4 linked regions of the Schizosaccharomyces pombe genome follow. Each later gene encodes a partner of the first gene's protein in a complex. Each region holds a gene or a part of one and is shown in the gene's direction. Other genes may lie near its edges.

Region 1 (2,935 bases):
CTGACAATATTCCTTCTGAAGAATTATCTAGTGTTACCCTTTCCGCGGTCGTCTCGACAATTCCTGCAGATATTGAGCTTCCTGAAAAAGTTGCATCTGTTATTAAAGCTTTGCTTGCTAACAAAGCCGATGGTGGAGTATTCCTTGACATGGCTTACAAGCCCTTGCATACACCTCTAATGGCTGTTGCATCTGACTTGGAATGGAAATGTTGCAACGGATTGGAAGCTTTAGTTCGTCAAGGTCTTGCGTCTTTTCATTTGTGGACTGGAATGACAGCACCATTTGATGCTGTTTATCAAAAGGTTATTGAGTAAGTCAACAATTCAAATTTTCGATTTAGTTAGGTATTTTGAAATCTATTTTGATACAAATGTAGAATAAAAATACAGGAAGTAATTTTTTTTAGCACTTCAGCTAGTAGAATCAGGAAGCCAATTGACGCTTGGTATGTCAATGATCAGTAAGCAGTCGCAAAATGTATGAACGCTGTAAATTTACAACAACAAAAATAATCTTGTAGAAGTGGAAACATTACTGTACCATTTTGCATACCAACTTGTATCTACTTTCGACTACAAAATGAAGTATTTTGCGAAACGTGATAATTAAGTTTATTAAAGTGTGACATTCAAAGACATTGTTTGCAAAAAATAATATCACCTACAAAAGAAACTAGTCATAAAAACATATGCAGAACAAATCCAATTAAAAACAGAACTTATAAGACTGCTGAAAAAGGGAAAGTCGCAGAAAGAGGTAATAATCCACAAAAATTATATTGATAGATAATTCAAATTTCACGAACAATTGCACAACATTTATAGCAGACAGGGGTAAAAAAGGAATTAAGTGGTAAATAATAAAGTGATATACAAACAAGGAGAAAAAAATCAATGTAATAGGAGTTTAACCACCGAAACCATAAATGGTACGGCCTTGACGCTTCAAAGAATAGACAACGTCCAAAGAAGTGACAGTCTTACGCTTGGCATGCTCAGTATAGGTGACGGCATCGCGAATAACATTTTCTAAGAAGAGCTTGAGAACAGCACGAGTCTCTTCATAAACCAAAGCGGAAATACGCTTCACACCACCACGACGAGCAAGACGACGGATAGCAGGCTTAGTAATACCTTGAATGTTGTCACGAAGAATTTTACGGTGACGCTTAGCACCACCTTTTCCCAAACCTTTACCACCTTTACCACGACCAGACATGTTAAGAAGTAGAAAAAATTAAAATCTACGCAAAAAAACGCGTAATTCTTTAAGTATAATAAAGATAAAGGGGTTTTCCGTTGACTAACAAAGGAACAATGAATTTATAGATGTCAACAGATGTTAACGGTAGGATAAAAGTCAATGCAAATTGACAAAGGATTTTATCCGTATTCAAAAACAATTAAAAGAAATGATTGTCTGAAGAGAGGGAAGTTGGGGCGACGCTGTCTATTTGTTTTGAATCTGCATCAAAACCCTAACCCTGCTTTTGATGAGATCGGGTGGATTCAAAACATATATATAGCAAATATCTGCAGTACGCTTGCGTTTCCATTAATTCTAAAGATCAACAATTGGCAAAAGTAGCACAACAGCTATTTTTTTCTCGATTGTCTTTTTATTTGATATTCATTCTACTAGCTTGATATAATGGCTCGTACTAAACAAACAGCTCGTAAGTCTACCGGTGGTAAGGCACCCCGTAAGCAATTGGCCTCTAAGGCCGCTCGTAAGGCCGCTCCCGCTACCGGAGGTGTTAAGAAGCCTCATCGTTATCGTCCTGGTACTGTCGCTCTTCGTGAGATTCGTCGTTATCAAAAGTCTACTGAACTTTTAATTCGTAAGCTACCTTTCCAACGTTTGGTCCGTGAAATCGCCCAAGATTTCAAGACTGACTTGCGTTTCCAATCTTCTGCCATTGGTGCTCTCCAAGAAGCTGTTGAGGCCTACCTTGTCTCTCTATTTGAGGACACTAACTTGTGTGCTATTCACGGAAAACGTGTTACGATTCAACCCAAGGATATGCAGTTGGCTCGTCGTCTCCGTGGCGAACGCTCATAATTTTCTCCAGGACTTTTGGCAATTGTAATTGAGACTAAATTAATTTTGATTGACTGCTTGCCTGTATTATACTGTCACCCTTTGATATGTTGCTACCAATAAGTGAAAAGCAGGCTTCGTGAATAATTGTTGTTTTTGTTCTACATTACCAAGAGCTAGATGAACGTTCACTTTGATGGGAACGGATATGTGTTAATTTGGTTGTTTGAATTTATCTTCAATTATAGAAACTTGTCGTTAATTCATGCGAATGAATTCAGCCTTGAGAGTGACAAGTTTAGATAACACATTATGTACATTAATGAAAACTAATGACAACAAGTACCTTTATTTGAAACATGATTTCTTTTATTTCAAGTATCTGTTAAATTTATGTCTTTTGTTTTATAAAAGAATACAGAACTACGAAGACAATGCTTTTTTTAAAAATCTTTACACTTTTGGTATTGAGATTTGGTTGTTATCGCAGCATTCTTTATCGTTTAATGGCGGTTCGCATAAAGAATTGCACATATTTATATGAACAAACTGTTTTCAGGTATTTACGAACTGTTTAATAGCTTAATAGCTTTGATATATCGCGGAAAGATATTTTGCAAAGACAAATCGAGCATGTAATGAACTTATCGGCCGAAAAAAAATAGACAATTCGTGAAAAATAATCAGTCATTCTTTCCTGCTTGTTATGTAACCTCTCTTTAGAACCTGGAATTGCATTTATAAGAGAATTAACGGTCGTTTTAATTCTTATTTTTAAAAATTTAGAGCTTTCTTAAGCATAGTTGAACGAGTAAAAGTAGTCCTTTGTTAGCGACTTCATAATTAAGCCTTGAAATTTATTCGGATGATTATTCTTAACATAAAAAGGAAG
Region 2 (5,709 bases), 2.5 Mb from region 1:
TATTTCTAGTAGCAAATTCAACACCAATAGTACTCTTGCTTTCGATATTAAATTCATTCCTAGTGAAACGCATAAGTAGGTTTGACTTTCCAACACCACTATCCCCAATCAGCACAGTCTTGAACAAATAATCGTATTCGTCCTCTTGACACATGGCTAAGTTCTCTATCGGTAAATCTACGAACAATTTTTGTTAACAAATATTTAAGGTCAAATAATATCAAGGTATATACCTGTAAATTACAATGAACCCTGCTTTCGATAGTCGAAGAATTTACTTAGTCGTAGTTTGTTGTAGGTAAGTTGCAGAGGGATATCAGAAAACCTAAGGAAGTAATAATCCTTTATCATGGTAACAAAAAAAAGTCCACTAGTGCCACTGGCCGTTAAAATGCATATAACGCATTCCAATGATTCATTAAATAATTATACTGCGTTACAAAGAATGTCGTAATCATGAGAAGGCTGGTGTCGTTTAGTGATTGCTATCATCAAAATCATTATGCTGTTGTTCACTATAAAGCGCTATTTTGTAAACATTTTAAAATGCCTTTGATATAAAGAAGCGCAAGTACTCAATTGAATGCAAGTACTATCAATTATATGAATGACCGATTGAACCCAATCGCAAAACTGGATATGGACGGGTTGGTATGGGTTTTTACAGTGCGATTAGTCAGTACTATACCCATTTTAGTCCTGCATCAAACAATGATGTAGAAATTCTTTGAAAGCAATGTTTTGATTTCCAAGTTACAAAGTTATCTAGCCAAAGAAAGAATATTTTAAGTTCCGGTTTTTTCAGCAGCTTTTTCTCACTTTTATAATGGTCACAATGATCGAAATTAAAAATTTGAAAGAATAAAATTGGCGGCTCAATTGAAATCTTTTTCTTTATGCAAAAGTTATACAATGTTGGATGCTGCTCATGGCATGCAGGCATCCTTCATGCAGAAAGTTACTTGAGTAATCCATCGAATAATTATCGTTGGCAAATCTTGGGTTAACAAGAAACAAAAAAATCCTGCACATAAACAGTTTTTCTTATTAAGTTCATTTCATGGAAAACGAATAACATAGTTCCGTAATAATATAAGTAAATGGATCCCTTGGTTAACCTCTATATAAAATTAATGCAAGCAATTATCAAAAGAGGTCGTGTGGTTTAGATGGTTATAATTTCTGCTTAACATGCTAGTTCGCAGACGGTCCCAAGTTCGAGTCTTGGCACGATCATTTTTTTCTATCGTAGTAATTATTTACTTTTCTTATTGTACTACCAGTTTTGGAATGATATGTTGTGTTGAATTCGTTTATATAGAGTTAACACATTTAGAGGTATTATGTATAAACGCATCGTTTAATAAATTGCAGCGCTCAAAATCTACTCATTGTAGCTTTTTGAAAACAAAATTCATTATTTGTTTAAAGTTTTTCTAACTTACACAACCACCCAGAAAATAAAATTAGAAGTTCAGGAGGAATGAGAAAATTTTAAACATTTATCAATTTACCAACAAAGTTTTTTGACTACTAGTACCTCATGTATGCAACTAGTAACACTAGTGGTTAGTGAGTATTTTCTCAAAGTACATATGTCTCCATAGGTGTCTTCAAATCTGCAACCTCAACCTCACACACTTGATTAATGCAATAAAACTCCAAACCCAATCGAAAACTTATTTTTTTGTATATTTAACGGTTTGCGTTGGTGACACGACGGTAAAATCACGCGGATTTTGTTTGATTCCAAAATTCGAGTGCATAAGCCATCTTGCTTATTGCAGCGAGACTTCGAAATTCTAACATCTAAAAGCTTCATTACTGGAATTATCTGTTGTTATTCTTGTGTTCCATTGGTAAAAAAATCACAAGCAAAAGGGAAATATTTGAGCCATTTTAGAGGTTATACTCTGCCCTTCATGCAACTATAAAAGTAGTTGAAAGGGAAGAACTTTGGCTAATAGTTTTGTCAAGGAATCTATTCAATCTTGCTTAATTCCGTTTTTTTTTTAAATTCATATCTTTATCCTTTTATATATTTTTTTGTTGTAATACTTCAATCTCTCTTAGCGACACGTAGGTGAGCAAAAAACCCGCTACCTTGAAATGGTATCTGTTAAACCACTTCCTGATATTGACTCGAATGAAGGTGAGACAGACGCGGATGTTTATGAGGTGGAAGATATCCTTGCTGACCGCGTAAATAAAAATGGCATAAACGAATATTATATAAAATGGGCTGGCTATGATTGGTATGATAATACTTGGGAACCTGAACAAAATTTATTCGGTGCGGAAAAAGTGCTTAAAAAATGGAAAAAACGGAAAAAGTTAATTGCTAAAGGCTTGCTTGAACCTTTCGATGCGGAAGATAATGAGGCAAAGAAAATGAAGAGAGAAAAGGAGATATTGAGGCAACAAAGACAAAAGCGCAAATCCGAGCTTACCCAATTATCTCAAAAAGTCAAAGAAAAATTCAAAAAGATGCGTAAGAAGCCTGCCCGAAGGATTGTAACCATCGCAAATGATGAAGAGGAAGAGGACGATCAGACAATGGATGAGGATGCGTTTGAGAGAAAAAGTATGCAAGGGGAATTGAAGGAGAGGAATTTGACCGATAAAACTAGCACGCTATCCACATCGTTTGGTGAAACTAGCCCTGATGTTAATCCTTTCTACTTATCAGAGTGGCCTACAGTTACCGACAGTATTTTATTGTCCAAAAGCCTCTCCAGCGATGCAATACCTTTGAAAAATGGCGAAATTAAAAGCACAATGTTGATGCCCAGTGACTCTGACAACTCAGTTCCCGGAATTCAAAATTCGAACAATCTTGAAAATACTGGCGCTTTTGTTGAAAATGCGAATTCACCACAATCTAACACCCCCTTGTCAACCTTTAGGCATTCAAGCCCTTTAAGTCTGTCGCCAGTAATAACTTCCGATAATGATGTTGCCAATTCATTATTTTTTAGCAATTCGACTCCTCTTCCTTCCTCTTTGAAGATAAAAAAGGAAGCACCGAAATTAGAAACGCATACGATATTAGTTAGTGATAATTCTGGTTCTTTAACGAAGCAAGATATTTTATCGTACTTTGCTTTTATCAAAGGAAATATTGAGGTCTTTTTTCTCAAATCACCAAAGAAAGACAAAGTTTGTAATATGGCCTACATTCAATTCGATTCTATCGAACAAGCCAAACTTGCGTATGATAAAGGGCATCCAAGTTGGCATGTAACTTTAGTAAAAGGGAAGATATCAACTGATATGGAAGAATGTAAAGTCTCAAAGTCTATTTTAAAAACAACCCCTTCAAAGAAAGCAAATGCAAGGTCCGTTTCTTTTACACAAACAACAACAGATACCCTTTCTGAGTCGGAAAAATTTGCTAGCAATGTCGATCTGGACGAAAATTTCGATTTCAACGTAAACGTGACGAATGAAGATGCTAAGCAGCTTAAGAAAAGTGTTATCGGAAGTAGTTGGACTACTGTTAATAACGACTGGAACAGTGTTTCTAAAAGCGATCAAACTTTTGAAAATGATGGAGCTAGCAAAGTAGTTCCGGCTGGTAATATTACTTTAAATTCGGATAACTCTCTTCACCATTCGATAAGCGAATCCGAAGATCTTTCTTCAGCAAGCACATTGTCTGATTATTTTAGATTCGTTTTGCGAGTCGGAAAATCTCTCTACTATGCTGGAGAATTGTCATTTGATATATCCAAGCTTAAGGCGGAAACTGAACATCAACAGTTGTTACGAAGTTTAGTCAGTTGCAAGCAAGTAGATGTTTTACGTTTTGTTACTTCACAATATCTCGAGGTATTTGGTACTTGCTTGACTAAAGTTCTTTCCGGAAGTCTTTGTATTCGAAGCGATGTTGATATGACTCACTTTAAAAATATACTAAACCGCGGCAACGGTGCTGGCATCGTTCTGGGTAGTAACTATACATTATTATTATTTACAGAGGATAATAATGCTTTAATGAATTTATACGATTGTCAAGGCCAAAGCAATAGCCCTTTTTGGATGGTGATTTTTGAACCTTTAGAATCAATCCTAGTCGAATGGTCGGCAAAAAATCTAAGGCCTAAAAAGCCATATCATAAATCCCAATCTTACTTGTCTTATTTACTACAATTAGGCCACATCGATTTACATAAAATAGGCGCTTTTCAAGCTACACAAATTTTAATTGTCTCTAAACAGCCTTCTCCGGAGGCAGAAGAATTGGAGGATACTTTTAGAGAAGCTGCTATTCCGACATTTCGAGGACTCGAGATTCCGGAATCTTTGTTTTTATCACAGAATGTTTTTGTTTTCCTGAATGTCTCACTAGAGGATGATTTTGATCAACTGCAATTTTTAACACTGGCGAAAAGGAAAAGTTGTAAATTTTTCTTATTTGGTTTGTCACTCCCTCTCAAAAGTCCTAATGATTCACACGTGGGTACGGACTTTAAGAAAAACAATGAACCCCTTGATAAGTTGACATATTCACAGTACTTAAGACCGATGTTTCCTAAGGGTGGGGTGGTATCTGTTACACTCTCAGCACTTATAAAAACACCACGGCTTTTGGAACTCATTAGTCCATTTCTTGAGATTAAAAAAGATTCATGGATTTTAATTCTACCCCCATCAATTGTGGATATGGTCAAGAGCTATTTTGTAACAAACAATCCAGACAAAAGTCTCTTGGAAATTCAAAACTTATTGAATACACTCCAGCGCTACCTGACCAACCCAGCGCTGAAGAACGTGACTTTGTATCAGGATTGGGATATTGTGATCGATGATAGCGCTGATGTATCTTTAGCCAGCACTCTACAATTGTACCAGAAAAAAAATTATGATAAATATAGAAGGTTCGTATTGATTCACGAGCTTAAAAATGAATTGACGCCAGTTAATGGCCTTGACATTGTTGACTATGATGAGTTCAAAGAGACTTTTATGAGAGCTATTGGTTTAAAATAGTCGTTTTATTTATTTTGGGATACGGCGGACAATGGGATATATAGACTGACATTTTTTCTTATTACGAATGGATAGGAATACTTAAAATTAAACTCAAAGACTTATACTAGAAAATAACAGTCTACTCTTTAGAAATTAGACGATTAATTAATTAATTAATTTTTTCACTATATAATAACCGTATGTTTCAACATTGTTAGTTGTTTTTGCGCACCTCCTTAAAATCTAGGATCTCTTGGAAAAACATGTGATCCAATACCAACCGGCTAATATCTGTGTGTGTGTATTTAAACTAAACAACATGTTTGGTACTCGTTTTTTTGCTTATCAATTTTGCAAGAATTGGTTATCGAAACGACCAGGATTGGTCTTTTGGAGCTCAGTAGCAACAATAAATGCCATGTATCAAACTCGCCCTCTATACTGTGAGAGTGTCACCAAGACAATTCAACAAACATACGAAGGATTAGTTCAAAAAAGAATTAATAATGAGGATGAACTATTTTTGTTAGGTTCAGGACCGCGATATGTTTCTTTTCTAAGTATTCATGTGTATGATATCGAATTGTATATTCAGAAGAAAGATGTTCAAACCGTTCACACTATATTGCAAAAGGAGGTAGATCCGAAATTAGGGCTAGAAATGAGTATGAAAGACGAAGAAATTGGAAGTCGGATCGTGGCAGCGCTATTGAAAAACGAAATGAAGTATGCCAT
Region 3 (4,230 bases), on another chromosome or scaffold:
TTTTTTGTTAATTTCATATGTTCTTACAAATGTTTACGAGCATAAAAAGTTTGAGCGAGTCCAAGGTGCCACTTGGATTGTTCAGCAGTTTTAGATCTTGATACGTTTTATTCAACCTTTGGATATATAAAGAAGGGCGTCGCATATAAAAAATTCAAGTGTTCATACAGCAATGCTTAAATCGGTTGCAAACTTATATTTTATCTTAAAATTATTCTATTTCTATGTTTTTTTTGTTTAATAATTTTTATTGTGAAAGGACTTCAAGGTTTAAAAGAGTTGTTTTTTTGTATCCTGATTCAACGCTTTTCTCCTATGGCCAATGTCTCAGCATTATCAATTAAACAATTTTCAAATAAATTCTCCCTTTATGATACTTTATCAAGGAAATTAAAAGAAAGGTGCATTTAAAGGAATACTATTCAGTATGCAAGCAGTATCAAGGAAGCAGCTGACAAACCAATGGAACGGGTTATAAAGATTAGTTGCAATATCCATATTATATGGCAAAATATCACCTAACGCTCTACGTGAACTACTATGAACCTGCTGATTTTGGAAGTATATTCAATTATGTAAGCATCAAAATTCACGGTTCAAATCACGTAAGCATAATGATTTGAAGAATTGGTATATAAGCACGAAGTTAATGATAAATTGCCGACACCAAATTACACTTTTCAAACGGATTCAAGGATCATTCAAATATTGTGTTAGAATATGTCTACTACCAACAAAATTTACTTTATTGCAGGAGGAAATCGAGGCATTGGACTCTCTCTTGTTAAGGAATTGAGCAACAGAGAAGGAACAGTTGTATTTGCAAGTGCCCGCAAGCCTGAAGCTGCTACTGAATTACAAGAATGGAGCAAGTCTCATTCCAATGTGCATATTATTAAGTTAGATATCTCCTCTCTAGAGAGTGCTAATGAAGCCGCTCAAGAAGTTGCAAAAGCTGTAGGTAAAGTAGATGTTCTTTGGGTAAATTCGGGCATTTTTCATTCTTTCAACACTGTTCTGAATACTCCTGATGATGTCTGGAACTCTCACTATAAAACCAATGTTTTAGGACCAATTCATGTCTACCAAGCCTTTTATCCTCTTGTGAAGAAAGGAGAATCTAAAATCATTGTTTTTACTTCATCATTAGTTGGATCCATGGGTGCTTTCTTCCCATTTAACCAATCTGGTTATGGCCAATCCAAGGCTGCTTTAAATTTTACAATGAAGGAAATTAGTTTTGAGCTACAAGATGAAGGATTCATAGTGATTTCAATTCATCCCGGAATGGTTCGAACCGATTCAGCTCAGGAAGCTGTAAATCAGCATGCTGAAGCGAAACCGGAAATTTTAGATATCTTTGCGAAACAGGCCTTGGCACCAGACCAAAGCGCTTCAGATATGTTGAAAGTTGTAGACAATTTGAAGCCCGAAAATAATGGATTTTTTTTCAACTATGATGGTACTACAATTCCATACTGATGGAAATTCACATCATTAACAAGTCATTCGGATTTGCTGTTAAGCTGCATCAATATTATATAACCGAATGATCGAAGGAACTTACAATAACCCTAAATATATGTTTTAATCCGCTTGTATATCTTTTTTAATAATTAGAGATGAAGGAGGTTATGTCTATTTTTTATGTTTCACATACGAGTTGTTTTTGCACAATGAAATTTGATGATCATATTAATTGTACATTGCATGCATTATTAATGAAATAGAAATTTTTATTAAACAACGGTTATGTTTAACTAAACTGCTCTGTAAGTTCTTCGTACTTTCGCATAAAATACTTAACAATGGTTATGTTTTCTATTGTTTACCGAATAGTGAGGCATTGTTTAGATGTGCCTTCAGTATTTATATTTACTGCATTTTAATCCTTATATGTTTGAATCAAATAGGTGTTATTACCTTAGAGCACGAAAAGCGATATAAAATAGTCAAGCGTATCCTTAATTATCCGAACTCTACGAAACCTTTCTTCACCTACGCTGTTCTTGGCAATCGCTTAGACGCGTTTCACTTCGAAATGTCAATCGTGAATATCCTTAGTGTTAATGTGCTAAATAATCCGGCAAAGTTCTCTGATCCATATAAATTCGAAATTACCTTTGAATGTCTGGAGCCGTTAAAAAGCGACCTGGAATGGAAGTTGACATATGTAGGTAGTGCGACGTCTCAAAGTTACGACCAAATTTTGGACACGCTACTAGTGGGACCTATACCAATCGGGATTAATAAATTCGTTTTTGAAGCTGATCCTCCTAATATCGATCTTTTACCTCAACTCAGCGATGTTTTGGGTGTCACAGTTATTTTACTCTCTTGTGCATATGAGGATAATGAGTTTGTTCGAGTAGGTTATTATGTCAACAATGAGATGGAGGGCCTGAACCTTCAGGAAATGGACGATGCAGAAATTAAAAAGGTCAAGGTTGACATTTCTAAAGTCTGGCGCAGTATTTTAGCAGAAAAGCCAAGGGTGACTCGATTCAACATTCAGTGGGATAATCCCGACTTTGACGATGCTCCACCAGTTCAGCCTGACGCGGACGAAGAGGAAGAAGAGGAGGAAGCTGATGAAATGGAGGAAGAATTCGATGAAGAGGGAGAAGGCGATGAGGAGGAGGAGGAGGAAGACGATGGAGACGGTGATGGAGAAGGTGATGGTGATGGAGAAGGAGAAAATGATGGGAAAGGATCGGAAGAAGAAGAAGAAGAAGAAATTGATATAGAGGAAGAAGAAGAAGAGTCGGCTCTTGCAAATGCTTCAGCTGCGGAAGAGAAACCTGAGGAGAAACCAGAGACGTCTCAGTAAAATGATAATCGGACTATTTTTTGAATGCTAATACTAATATTGACAAGAACTAATCCGATAAAGAACATGATTACTTTTTTGTATACTCTCTTTTAGTTTGCGCATATATATCGCTCTACCCGTTATTTTTTCGATGTAAAATATTCATGACTGGTGATAGTGTGAGAATAAAAACTATGGAATGGGAAAAGAGGAATAGCATTTTTTTTCCTGTTACCATAAAGCATTTTTCATAACACATCTTTTATTTAAATTCATTTTTGAACCGTCGACCTTTCCGTTGCATAATGGAGGGAAGAAGCATCTATTGTATGCCTCTTCCAATCGCCCTAAACGCATCATTTGTACCAACGTTCCATATTTTGGAACGGAGTTCTATTAGATTATTATTTTCTTTTTTTCCCATGTAAATTGTTGAAAGACTTTCGCATCCTGGTGTATGAAGTGTGCATTTCATGTTTTTCAAAACATAATTAGGGCACAGACGCAAGCTTTCTCTCCTCGATTTATCCTTACGGGACGGGATCTTTTTCCAGTTTATTAATGTGTGGATCCATTATTAGTATGTTCCATATTTAACTTATTCATCCAAAAGACAGCAGCACTCATTCTAGTTTTCGCCCTATGTATATTTGTTTATTGCAAGACCCATCAGTTGCGTACTCCAATGTAATCCGTTCGCTAATAAAACGTATTATGACATAAAACGCTATTTAAATATTGCGTATAGCAATACTCAACTCAATTAAGGATAATGTCTCTTGCAGTGGCCTCTTTAAATTGAGTGACACCCCTAAGTCACAGCAATGGGAAATGACATGTATTGACGCTACGCTGGTAAGACACTTCCCAACCTCCCATTTTCCGCAAAAAAACAAAAAAAGCGCATTACTCAATGAGTACAGATTCCTTGCCAAGAAGTTTGATGGAGCAGTAAGTGGTTTTGCTAGTTCTTTGCTAAATTGATAGGAAAGCGATGGAATTGCAACAGCAATTGCAAGGTACGATGGCGGTGCGTTTTGGAGAAAGAAAAGACTAACAATTGATAGCTTTGTTGGATGAGATCGATCAAAACAAACAGGAATCTGAAAACATTAGTCGAGAAAGCGAGTATCTGTGCCAATACATCGGCAGCATGATGGCCTTTCAGAATCGTCAGACTGTTCCCAAGAAGTAAAGTCGTTTAACCCTCTTTATGAAGCAACACTTGTACAGAAAGAGTTGTTGATGCACCATTGAATTGATTAATCGCTTTTTTTGATGTTTTTTGTATGATTCGTTCGATGAAGAAGAAAAAAAAATAAGGTTCGTTTGGATAGATGCGTAAGAACGCTGTTAAAACTGCGAATTCTCAGAAAAGTTTTTGGACGAATGACTGGATTACTTTAAGTGTTTGTTTT
Region 4 (6,611 bases), on another chromosome or scaffold:
GTAATGCTTTAACTAAACGAAATTAATCTCTTTTTTCCAAAGATGCTAAAGAACTTTTATTTATTTTCACATTCGTTCGGCAAGTAGGTAATTTCCGTCATAATTCTATAAGAGGCGAATATGCAATTGTTAATATATTTACATCTTGTCCTTTCACACTTCAAATAATAAATAATAAAGCAAGATTAAAAGCAAGAAATACAATTGAAAAATCGTAAATATATACAGAGATTTTGTCTTCGGTATGGCCTATTCCACATTGAAAATTTCGCAACCCGGTATGGTGGCTACAATATTAGTTACATTCAAAGTGTATTTGTTGAATCTTTTGTGCACAGTATATGGATCTGAAATTTCATTCTCATTCACTAGAGGCATCATTGGTAATATTGAATCCCTGGCATGTTATATTGGGCTTTGTTTTTTTGTTTATGGTATGAAGGGATAGGATTAAAGGCTTCGTTCAAAAAATATATCTAATGTACAGTAGGTATTCTGCAATCAAATTTTGAGTTTGTAGTCTGGTGAATTTATCGCACCATCTAATTGAGATCGACAATTATCAAGGGAGCTTTCACATAGAGTATTAAGAAGCACTAGAGATATGGGTCAAAGCATGTATGGTTTTTTGTTTTCTTTATTCATTTTTTCAAAGTTTAAATTTAAATGGAACTTTTTAAGGCATGTTGGCACCACCGATTTGCAATTCAAAATTGAACCAAATTAGCAACATTTTGGATTGGCTACTGTTAATCAACCTTTAGAGCCTGCAGAAAATTTATCCAGAAATGGAGTACATGACTTCTCCATTGTCATTCAAAATTAACAAGCGAAAAAACCAAATACCAACATGTGCTTCTAGAATGGGTTATGGGTTATCGCGTTCTGAAAGTTGGCTGGAGACTCAATCTTTTTTAATTGACCTTGTTTATCTAATGAGCTCAAGTTTAACCATTATTAAAAAATGAATGCTCGAATGCAAAGGTATTTGGTTCCTTACTTTATTAATTTTGCGAGAAGCTTGTTTATAGGCATTCTTTGTACCGAAATCAAAACCCGATAGTCAAATATAATAGTTTTTAATCATTATAAAAATGGCGATGCGACTAATTGTGTAAAAAGTTTTTCTATGGACAATCTTACTGTTGTTTCATTTCTTTTATTATTATAGAGCAATTGAACATACTATTGTTTTTTAAAAACGCTCAACTTTCTTATTTAGACACAGATGGGTTAGACTCCGTGCTGCACACTGATACAAAGTCAGCTACGCAGTTTGGTATCTGCTTTAACGATAACATAGAACTGCGGTAATTTTTCCTTGTTAACGTATTACAATACACAGGTATTACAAGTAGCAATTGAGTATAGGTATTAAATTATCTAGATTGCATTGTGACCTATAACTAATATAGCTTATAACTGAAGTTCATTCCTCAGTTCAGTTGCAGCTCAATTTATAATCTTTTTAGTCTTCATTAGCCAGCGTCTATGTAAATATGAAAATGGTTTTGCGCATTTATCAATAAACTGCTCTAAAGTAATATCCTAACATATGACATATAGTGATACGTTACGTGTTCTTCATTAGAGCAGTGTGTTGTTAACACCGTATTTCCTTTACGGGGCGATTCTCCGTTTCTTTAAATTTTGACTTCTGTAAAGGAGTGCGATTCAACAACCTGGTCGAAATACAAACTGTTATAACATGAATTGGCATTGCTAGTTTGGATTGTTGTTTGAAAGTTGATTTGTATATTATAACTTTAAAATTACTTTGTACTTGATACCTTTTTCAAATTTCAGAGCTTCAATTTTGCTCTGAAATTGAACACATCGACTTTATATATTTATTGCTCATTACTAAAAAACATTCAGTTTTATATTCTGAGTTCGCGGTCGTCTATTATTTTAGTCCTTTAGCAATTGTCATATTAACATAAACCCTCTCCTTATTTTATTTTTTAAATTCGTTCAGGCATCATTTGGAGGGTTTGCTAAAAATCATCTCACCAAACAAGAGGTTATTAGTTTTGCGAATGTCGCCTAAACAAGAGGAGTATGAAGTTGAAAGGATTGTGGACGAAAAATTGGATCGTAATGGAGCTGTCAAACTATATCGCATTCGATGGTTGAACTATTCATCTAGAAGTGATACTTGGGAGCCCCCTGAGAACCTTTCTGGATGTTCTGCCGTTTTAGCAGAATGGAAAAGGCGGAAGAGGAGACTAAAGGGAAGTAACTCCGACTCGGATTCACCGCACCATGCGAGCAATCCACATCCAAACAGTAGACAAAAGCACCAACATCAAACTTCAAAGTCAGTGCCTCGTTCTCAAAGATTTTCGCGGGAATTGAATGTAAAAAAGGAAAATAAAAAGGTTTTTTCTTCTCAAACTACCAAGAGACAATCTCGAAAACAATCCACCGCTCTGACGACGAATGATACTAGTATCATTTTAGACGATAGTCTTCATACAAATTCAAAGAAGCTGGGGAAGACGAGAAATGAAGTGAAGGAGGAATCTCAAAAAAGAGAACTAGTTTCCAATTCTATTAAAGAAGCTACATCCCCCAAAACATCTTCAATTCTCACAAAACCGCGAAACCCTTCCAAACTTGACTCTTATACCCATCTAAGTTTTTACGAAAAGAGAGAGCTATTTCGTAAGAAACTGCGGGAAATTGAAGGACCCGAAGTAACGCTTGTCAATGAAGTTGACGATGAACCCTGTCCATCTTTAGATTTTCAATTCATTAGCCAGTACCGCTTAACACAAGGTGTTATCCCGCCTGATCCAAATTTTCAATCTGGATGCAATTGCTCGTCCCTTGGCGGTTGTGACCTTAACAATCCTTCTCGTTGTGAGTGTTTAGATGATTTGGATGAGCCAACTCATTTTGCCTATGATGCACAGGGGCGGGTCCGTGCAGATACGGGTGCCGTTATATATGAATGCAACTCTTTTTGTTCTTGTTCAATGGAGTGTCCTAATCGCGTTGTTCAACGTGGTAGAACTCTTCCGCTTGAAATATTTAAAACAAAAGAAAAAGGATGGGGTGTACGTTCGCTTCGATTTGCCCCTGCTGGCACGTTTATCACTTGCTATTTAGGAGAAGTCATAACTTCAGCAGAGGCCGCCAAGCGTGACAAAAATTATGACGACGACGGTATTACCTATTTATTTGATTTAGACATGTTTGATGATGCTAGCGAGTATACAGTGGATGCTCAGAACTATGGAGATGTCTCTCGTTTTTTTAACCACTCCTGTTCACCTAATATAGCTATTTATTCTGCTGTTCGGAACCATGGATTTCGAACCATTTATGATCTCGCTTTTTTTGCCATCAAAGACATTCAGCCTCTAGAGGAGCTTACATTTGATTACGCTGGTGCAAAAGATTTCTCACCTGTTCAATCTCAAAAATCTCAGCAAAATAGAATTTCAAAACTTCGCCGGCAGTGCAAATGTGGTTCCGCTAATTGTCGTGGCTGGCTTTTCGGTTAAGCTAATTTATTACTGGTTGACTCCAATAATTACAATTTGTTTTTCTCCATTACTGTTAAACTGAAAAAGGTCATTCATTTTCTAAGCAACGAGATTATGTATATTATCTGACCTGTGGGATTTGCCGAACAATTATCGGTAAAACATATCGGTGCTTATATTTTTTACACTTGTTGAAAGCATTATAGTAATTGTTGTAAAGCCTAGCGTTAATGGAAAAACTCTTTTCATCTGCTGCGCACATGTGAAGTAAAAAGGGCGTTTAAGCGTTAACGGTAATGGACCGTCCTTCAGAAGCTATAGAAGGAGCTGCTTCTGTTTCGAGCACCTGGGGCATCTGATTGTTTTCTCCTTCTGCTGAGGCGAGGGCATCAGTTGTTTCTTCAGCTGGGTCTTCTTGTGCAGCTGTTCGAGGCGTTGGAGTTGTTGTAGGAGTTAAGGGAGTTTCCGGTTTTATTGTGGTTTTTGAGAACTGGGAAATTTCTTTTAGTCTCCCGTCTTTATCAAACTTCTTATGCACTTTTTTTTGCACCAAACCTGAGAGCTTCTTTGAAAGGTTGGAAGGAAATATCTCAAATCCTGCCTTAGCAAATTCAAGGGAAGGATCTGCCTGTAAAGTTTTAACACTTTTGGTAGGTTTAGCATACTTGTGAAGCTTAAAGCCGAATACTCTCTTGTTGCCTCCTTTTTTCTTCTTATGATGCCGATGATGCTTTTTTCCGGCTTTCTTAGACGTTCTATCTTCATTGCTGACAACACTCTCTTCATTAGTAGCTGCAGTGGAAGGGTCTTGATCGTCTGCAGTAGGGGTCGCAACATCGGGAAGTGCTATATCAGGAAGTGCAATATCAGTCTCTTCTATGAAAGCTTGTTCAACTGATTGGGCTGTACCTTTAACATCTTCTTCAATGGCGTCTGCTATTTGACCGATGGGGGTTCCGTTATCATTTTGAGTAGAAGCTTGCTCAACATTTTGAGTTGATGTTGATTCTTCTGCCGGACCTGTGGCTGGTTTTTCTTCTGATGCGGGAGCCACTTCTTCCGTAGTAGCAGGAAAATGTTCTTCAGTGGTGGGAATTTGGTTAGTTTCATTCTCAGGAACTTCGACTGATTGTGCTTCAACAGTAGTATCAACCGGGTCAGCTGACGTTTCATTATCAATGGGACTAGCCGTATCGTTTTGCGGAGTTTTCCCCTTAATCATGTTTTGAAAAAAGTCAAAAAGACCGTCTTTGGCAACAGAATTGTTTTGTTTTCCGCCATGAGATTTACTAGATGACTTTTTCGCGTCCCGTCCGTTAGAAAGCATTGGAAGGAAATAACGAAATGTTTCACTTGCTGAAGGACCTGAACGAGCTGCTAACTTGCCGAGTCTTTTAAGCGTGTCATTGTAAGCACGAAGCTCTTTAATTTTATCTTTGGTTTCCTTTTTCTTAGCAATGGCATTTTTGAGATCAGTAATCCATGTATTTTTACTTTCTGGGTCTAGGGCTTCAAGTGTTTCTGATTTACCATTGTTAAAATTGATGGTGAATTTGTTTCCAGTACCGGGTTCTATGGATACTGCATCAGTCTGAAAATACAGTTAGCACGGTTAAAACTAAAAATCAGGGGAATTAGGAATTCTTACCAAATTAATGATTCCGCTTGGGACACTAGTTGATTGAGATTTGGAGTAAAAGAGTAAACCACGGCAGTCTTGAGTAGCTTTAGCGATACGGTTAAGGTGATCATTAGCAGACTGGAAGAGGGAATCAGCATCAGAGTCGTGCATTTGCTCAGAAGCTAAGGAAGGTTCCGTTGGGTTACCTTGCAAAGTACCATGGAAGTGTTTTTTATAATAATGGTCTAATAAATCCATAGACATAGGGCCTTCTAGCATATAAAAATACCTTTTCATGACATGACTACATGTGGTTAGTAAGATTACTCAATCGATTGTTTGATTTTTAATAAATGGATGCTGTTTTGACTTACGGAATAAGTCCGTTGGATCGACAGTATAAATACCCACCAGTGGTGTAGGTCAATGGTTTTTCATCCTTGGCTTTCTTCTTGGATTTTTTTTCTTCAACCTTGGGAGCTGCCACGCTGTTTGGATCATCATCTGCAGGATCGATATTGTCGACTGTTTCAGGCTCCTTGGGTTCCTCAGGTGCTTGTACTTCTGCAGGAACAGCGTTTTCAGTGGCATCATCATTGTCGGTTTCGTTGCTCAATGGCACCTCCAGTGTCTCCACCTGGGCCTCAGCAGATCCCGAATCATGTTCATTGTGTTCCGACACATTTTCGAAAGTAGGTTCAGCAATCTGCTCAGGTCGTTCTTCACGGCCCTCATAAGACATGATAAGAAGTCGAAAACAACAGTTAGGCTCTCAATTTTGGATTTTTTTTATGCTGTAAATATTTGTGGTAGAGGAAAAGTCTGCGCCAAGCTGGTTATTTGAATACCAATTGTTGGCGAGAATGTAAACAAACAAATCGACTACCTAATATACAAACAAACGATGGACATCAATAGAAAAGGGAAAATACATAGAATTTACTTTTTAAATGTTAAAAAATTTCTACTAATTCATTCTTATTAATAAAATCTTCAACGGCCATTAAATCTTGTATTCGCTCATTCGTATCAAAACATATACATTCTTCTGGAATCGAGCTGTCTGCGATTGAATGAACTATATAGTATTGAGAGATTTTACAATTAAGTGTTTGTCTTTAATTTCTAATTGCGACTACCATCCTAAAATTTTCATTTGAGTTGAAATCTGTTTAACAACAACAGATGAGCCATATTTTTCATTGACTTTATACATGATTGTCACCATTAGTTCCTTTTTTTATAAAAATTAAATGTTGTTTAACTATTCTGCTCATTTGTTTTGCTTAAAAACTAAGTAGGTTTTAATTGGTAAGAATTTTACGAGATTTTAAATTTTTATTTATTTACTTATTATTTTTGACGAACGCTAGTTTCAAAAAAGCAAATCCAAACTCGAGGTATTTTCAAATTGTTTAAAATTTTCAATAGAATGGAAGGATGTTTTTTAATGCTTTCCACATCTTTGAATTGGAAATTTCCTTTTAATATTTACA

What was found.
Region 2: the proteins of hht1 (region 1) and chp1 are in contact, whole or in part, in a crystal structure (PDB 3G7L), measured with the Schizosaccharomyces pombe proteins. Residues at the interface, in NP_594683.1 of Schizosaccharomyces pombe: Lys5 (codon at 1,666), Gln6 (codon at 1,669), Thr7 (codon at 1,672), Ala8 (codon at 1,675), Arg9 (codon at 1,678), Lys10 (codon at 1,681), Ser11 (codon at 1,684); in NP_593666.1 of Schizosaccharomyces pombe: Asp20 (codon at 2,167), Val21 (codon at 2,170), Tyr22 (codon at 2,173), Glu23 (codon at 2,176), Val24 (codon at 2,179), Trp44 (codon at 2,239), Tyr47 (codon at 2,248), Asp51 (codon at 2,260), Thr53 (codon at 2,266), Glu55 (codon at 2,272), Asn59 (codon at 2,284), Leu60 (codon at 2,287), Phe61 (codon at 2,290), Gly62 (codon at 2,293), Ala63 (codon at 2,296), Glu64 (codon at 2,299), Lys65 (codon at 2,302), Val66 (codon at 2,305).
Region 3: the proteins of hht1 (region 1) and asf1 are in contact, whole or in part, in a crystal structure (PDB 2DZE), measured with the Schizosaccharomyces pombe proteins. Residues at the interface, in NP_594683.1 of Schizosaccharomyces pombe: Leu127 (codon at 2,032), Ala128 (codon at 2,035), Arg129 (codon at 2,038), Arg130 (codon at 2,041), Leu131 (codon at 2,044); in NP_588267.1 of Schizosaccharomyces pombe: Asp37 (codon at 2,150), Asp58 (codon at 2,213), Thr59 (codon at 2,216), Leu60 (codon at 2,219), Leu61 (codon at 2,222), Val62 (codon at 2,225), Gly63 (codon at 2,228), Glu75 (codon at 2,264), Ala76 (codon at 2,267), Asp77 (codon at 2,270).
Region 4: the proteins of hht1 (region 1) and clr4 are in contact, whole or in part, in a crystal structure (PDB 9IT4), measured with the Schizosaccharomyces pombe proteins. Residues at the interface, in NP_594683.1 of Schizosaccharomyces pombe: Thr7 (codon at 1,672), Ala8 (codon at 1,675), Arg9 (codon at 1,678), Ser11 (codon at 1,684), Thr12 (codon at 1,687), Gly13 (codon at 1,690), Gly14 (codon at 1,693), Lys19 (codon at 1,708), Gln20 (codon at 1,711); in NP_595186.1 of Schizosaccharomyces pombe: Ala298 (codon at 2,931), Asp299 (codon at 2,934), Thr300 (codon at 2,937), Gly301 (codon at 2,940), Ala302 (codon at 2,943), Val303 (codon at 2,946), Tyr357 (codon at 3,108), Ala367 (codon at 3,138), Ala368 (codon at 3,141), Asp371 (codon at 3,150), Thr380 (codon at 3,177), Tyr381 (codon at 3,180), Leu382 (codon at 3,183), Phe383 (codon at 3,186), Asp384 (codon at 3,189), Asp386 (codon at 3,195), Met387 (codon at 3,198), Thr395 (codon at 3,222), Ala417 (codon at 3,288), Ile418 (codon at 3,291), Tyr419 (codon at 3,294), Leu433 (codon at 3,336), Ile438 (codon at 3,351), Phe449 (codon at 3,384), Asp450 (codon at 3,387), Tyr451 (codon at 3,390), Ala452 (codon at 3,393), Gly453 (codon at 3,396), Phe489 (codon at 3,504), Gly490 (codon at 3,507).

The regions. Positions count from the first base shown.
Region 1 is NC_003424.3:4,698,176-4,701,110, forward strand, and holds hht1 (histone H3 h3.1), read left to right. Parts: upstream 1-1,556; 5' UTR 1,557-1,653; coding exon 1,654-2,064; 3' UTR 2,065-2,385; downstream 2,386-2,935. Other genes in the region: multifunctional aromatic polypeptide Aro1, read left to right, coding at 1-317; hhf1 (histone H4 h4.1), read right to left, coding at 910-1,221. UniProt on the Schizosaccharomyces pombe protein: Core component of nucleosome. Nucleosomes wrap and compact DNA into chromatin, limiting DNA accessibility to the cellular machineries which require DNA as a template.
Region 2 is NC_003424.3:2,210,260-2,215,968, reverse strand, and holds chp1 (heterochromatin (HP1) family chromodomain protein Chp1), read left to right. Parts: upstream 1-1,623; 5' UTR 1,624-2,109; coding exon 2,110-4,992; 3' UTR 4,993-5,159; downstream 5,160-5,709. Other genes in the region: Rab11 family GTPase Ypt3, read right to left, coding at 1-154; aim18 (chalcone related protein), read left to right, coding at 5,294-5,709. UniProt on the Schizosaccharomyces pombe protein: Component of the kinetochore which plays a role in stabilizing microtubules and so allowing accurate chromosome segregation. Has a role in the RNA interference (RNAi) pathway which is important for heterochromatin formation and accurate chromosome segregation.
Region 3 is NC_003421.2:1,642,367-1,646,596, reverse strand, and holds asf1 (histone H3-H4 chaperone Asf1), read left to right. Parts: upstream 1-2,012; 5' UTR 2,013-2,041; coding exon 2,042-2,830; 3' UTR 2,831-3,695; downstream 3,696-4,230. Other genes in the region: osr1 (dehydrogenase), read left to right, coding at 721-1,482; SPOM_SPCC663.18 (GTPAse-interacting protein), read left to right, coding at 3,726-3,763, 3,800-3,831, 3,880-4,007. UniProt on the Schizosaccharomyces pombe protein: Histone chaperone that facilitates histone deposition and histone exchange and removal during nucleosome assembly and disassembly.
Region 4 is NC_003423.3:453,476-460,086, reverse strand, and holds clr4 (histone lysine H3-K9 methyltransferase (Suv39) Clr4), read left to right. Parts: upstream 1-1,676; 5' UTR 1,677-2,039; coding exon 2,040-3,512; 3' UTR 3,513-3,774; coding exon of another isoform or gene 3,775-5,085; 3' UTR 5,086-5,142; coding exon of another isoform or gene 5,143-5,419; 3' UTR 5,420-5,489; coding exon of another isoform or gene 5,490-5,857; 3' UTR 5,858-6,091; downstream 6,092-6,611. Other genes in the region: pleckstrin homology domain protein Meu6, read right to left, coding at 3,775-5,085, 5,143-5,419, 5,490-5,857. UniProt on the Schizosaccharomyces pombe protein: Histone methyltransferase which contributes to the establishment of heterochromatin by specifically methylating histone H3 to form H3K9me. Part of the Clr4 methyltransferase complex (ClrC).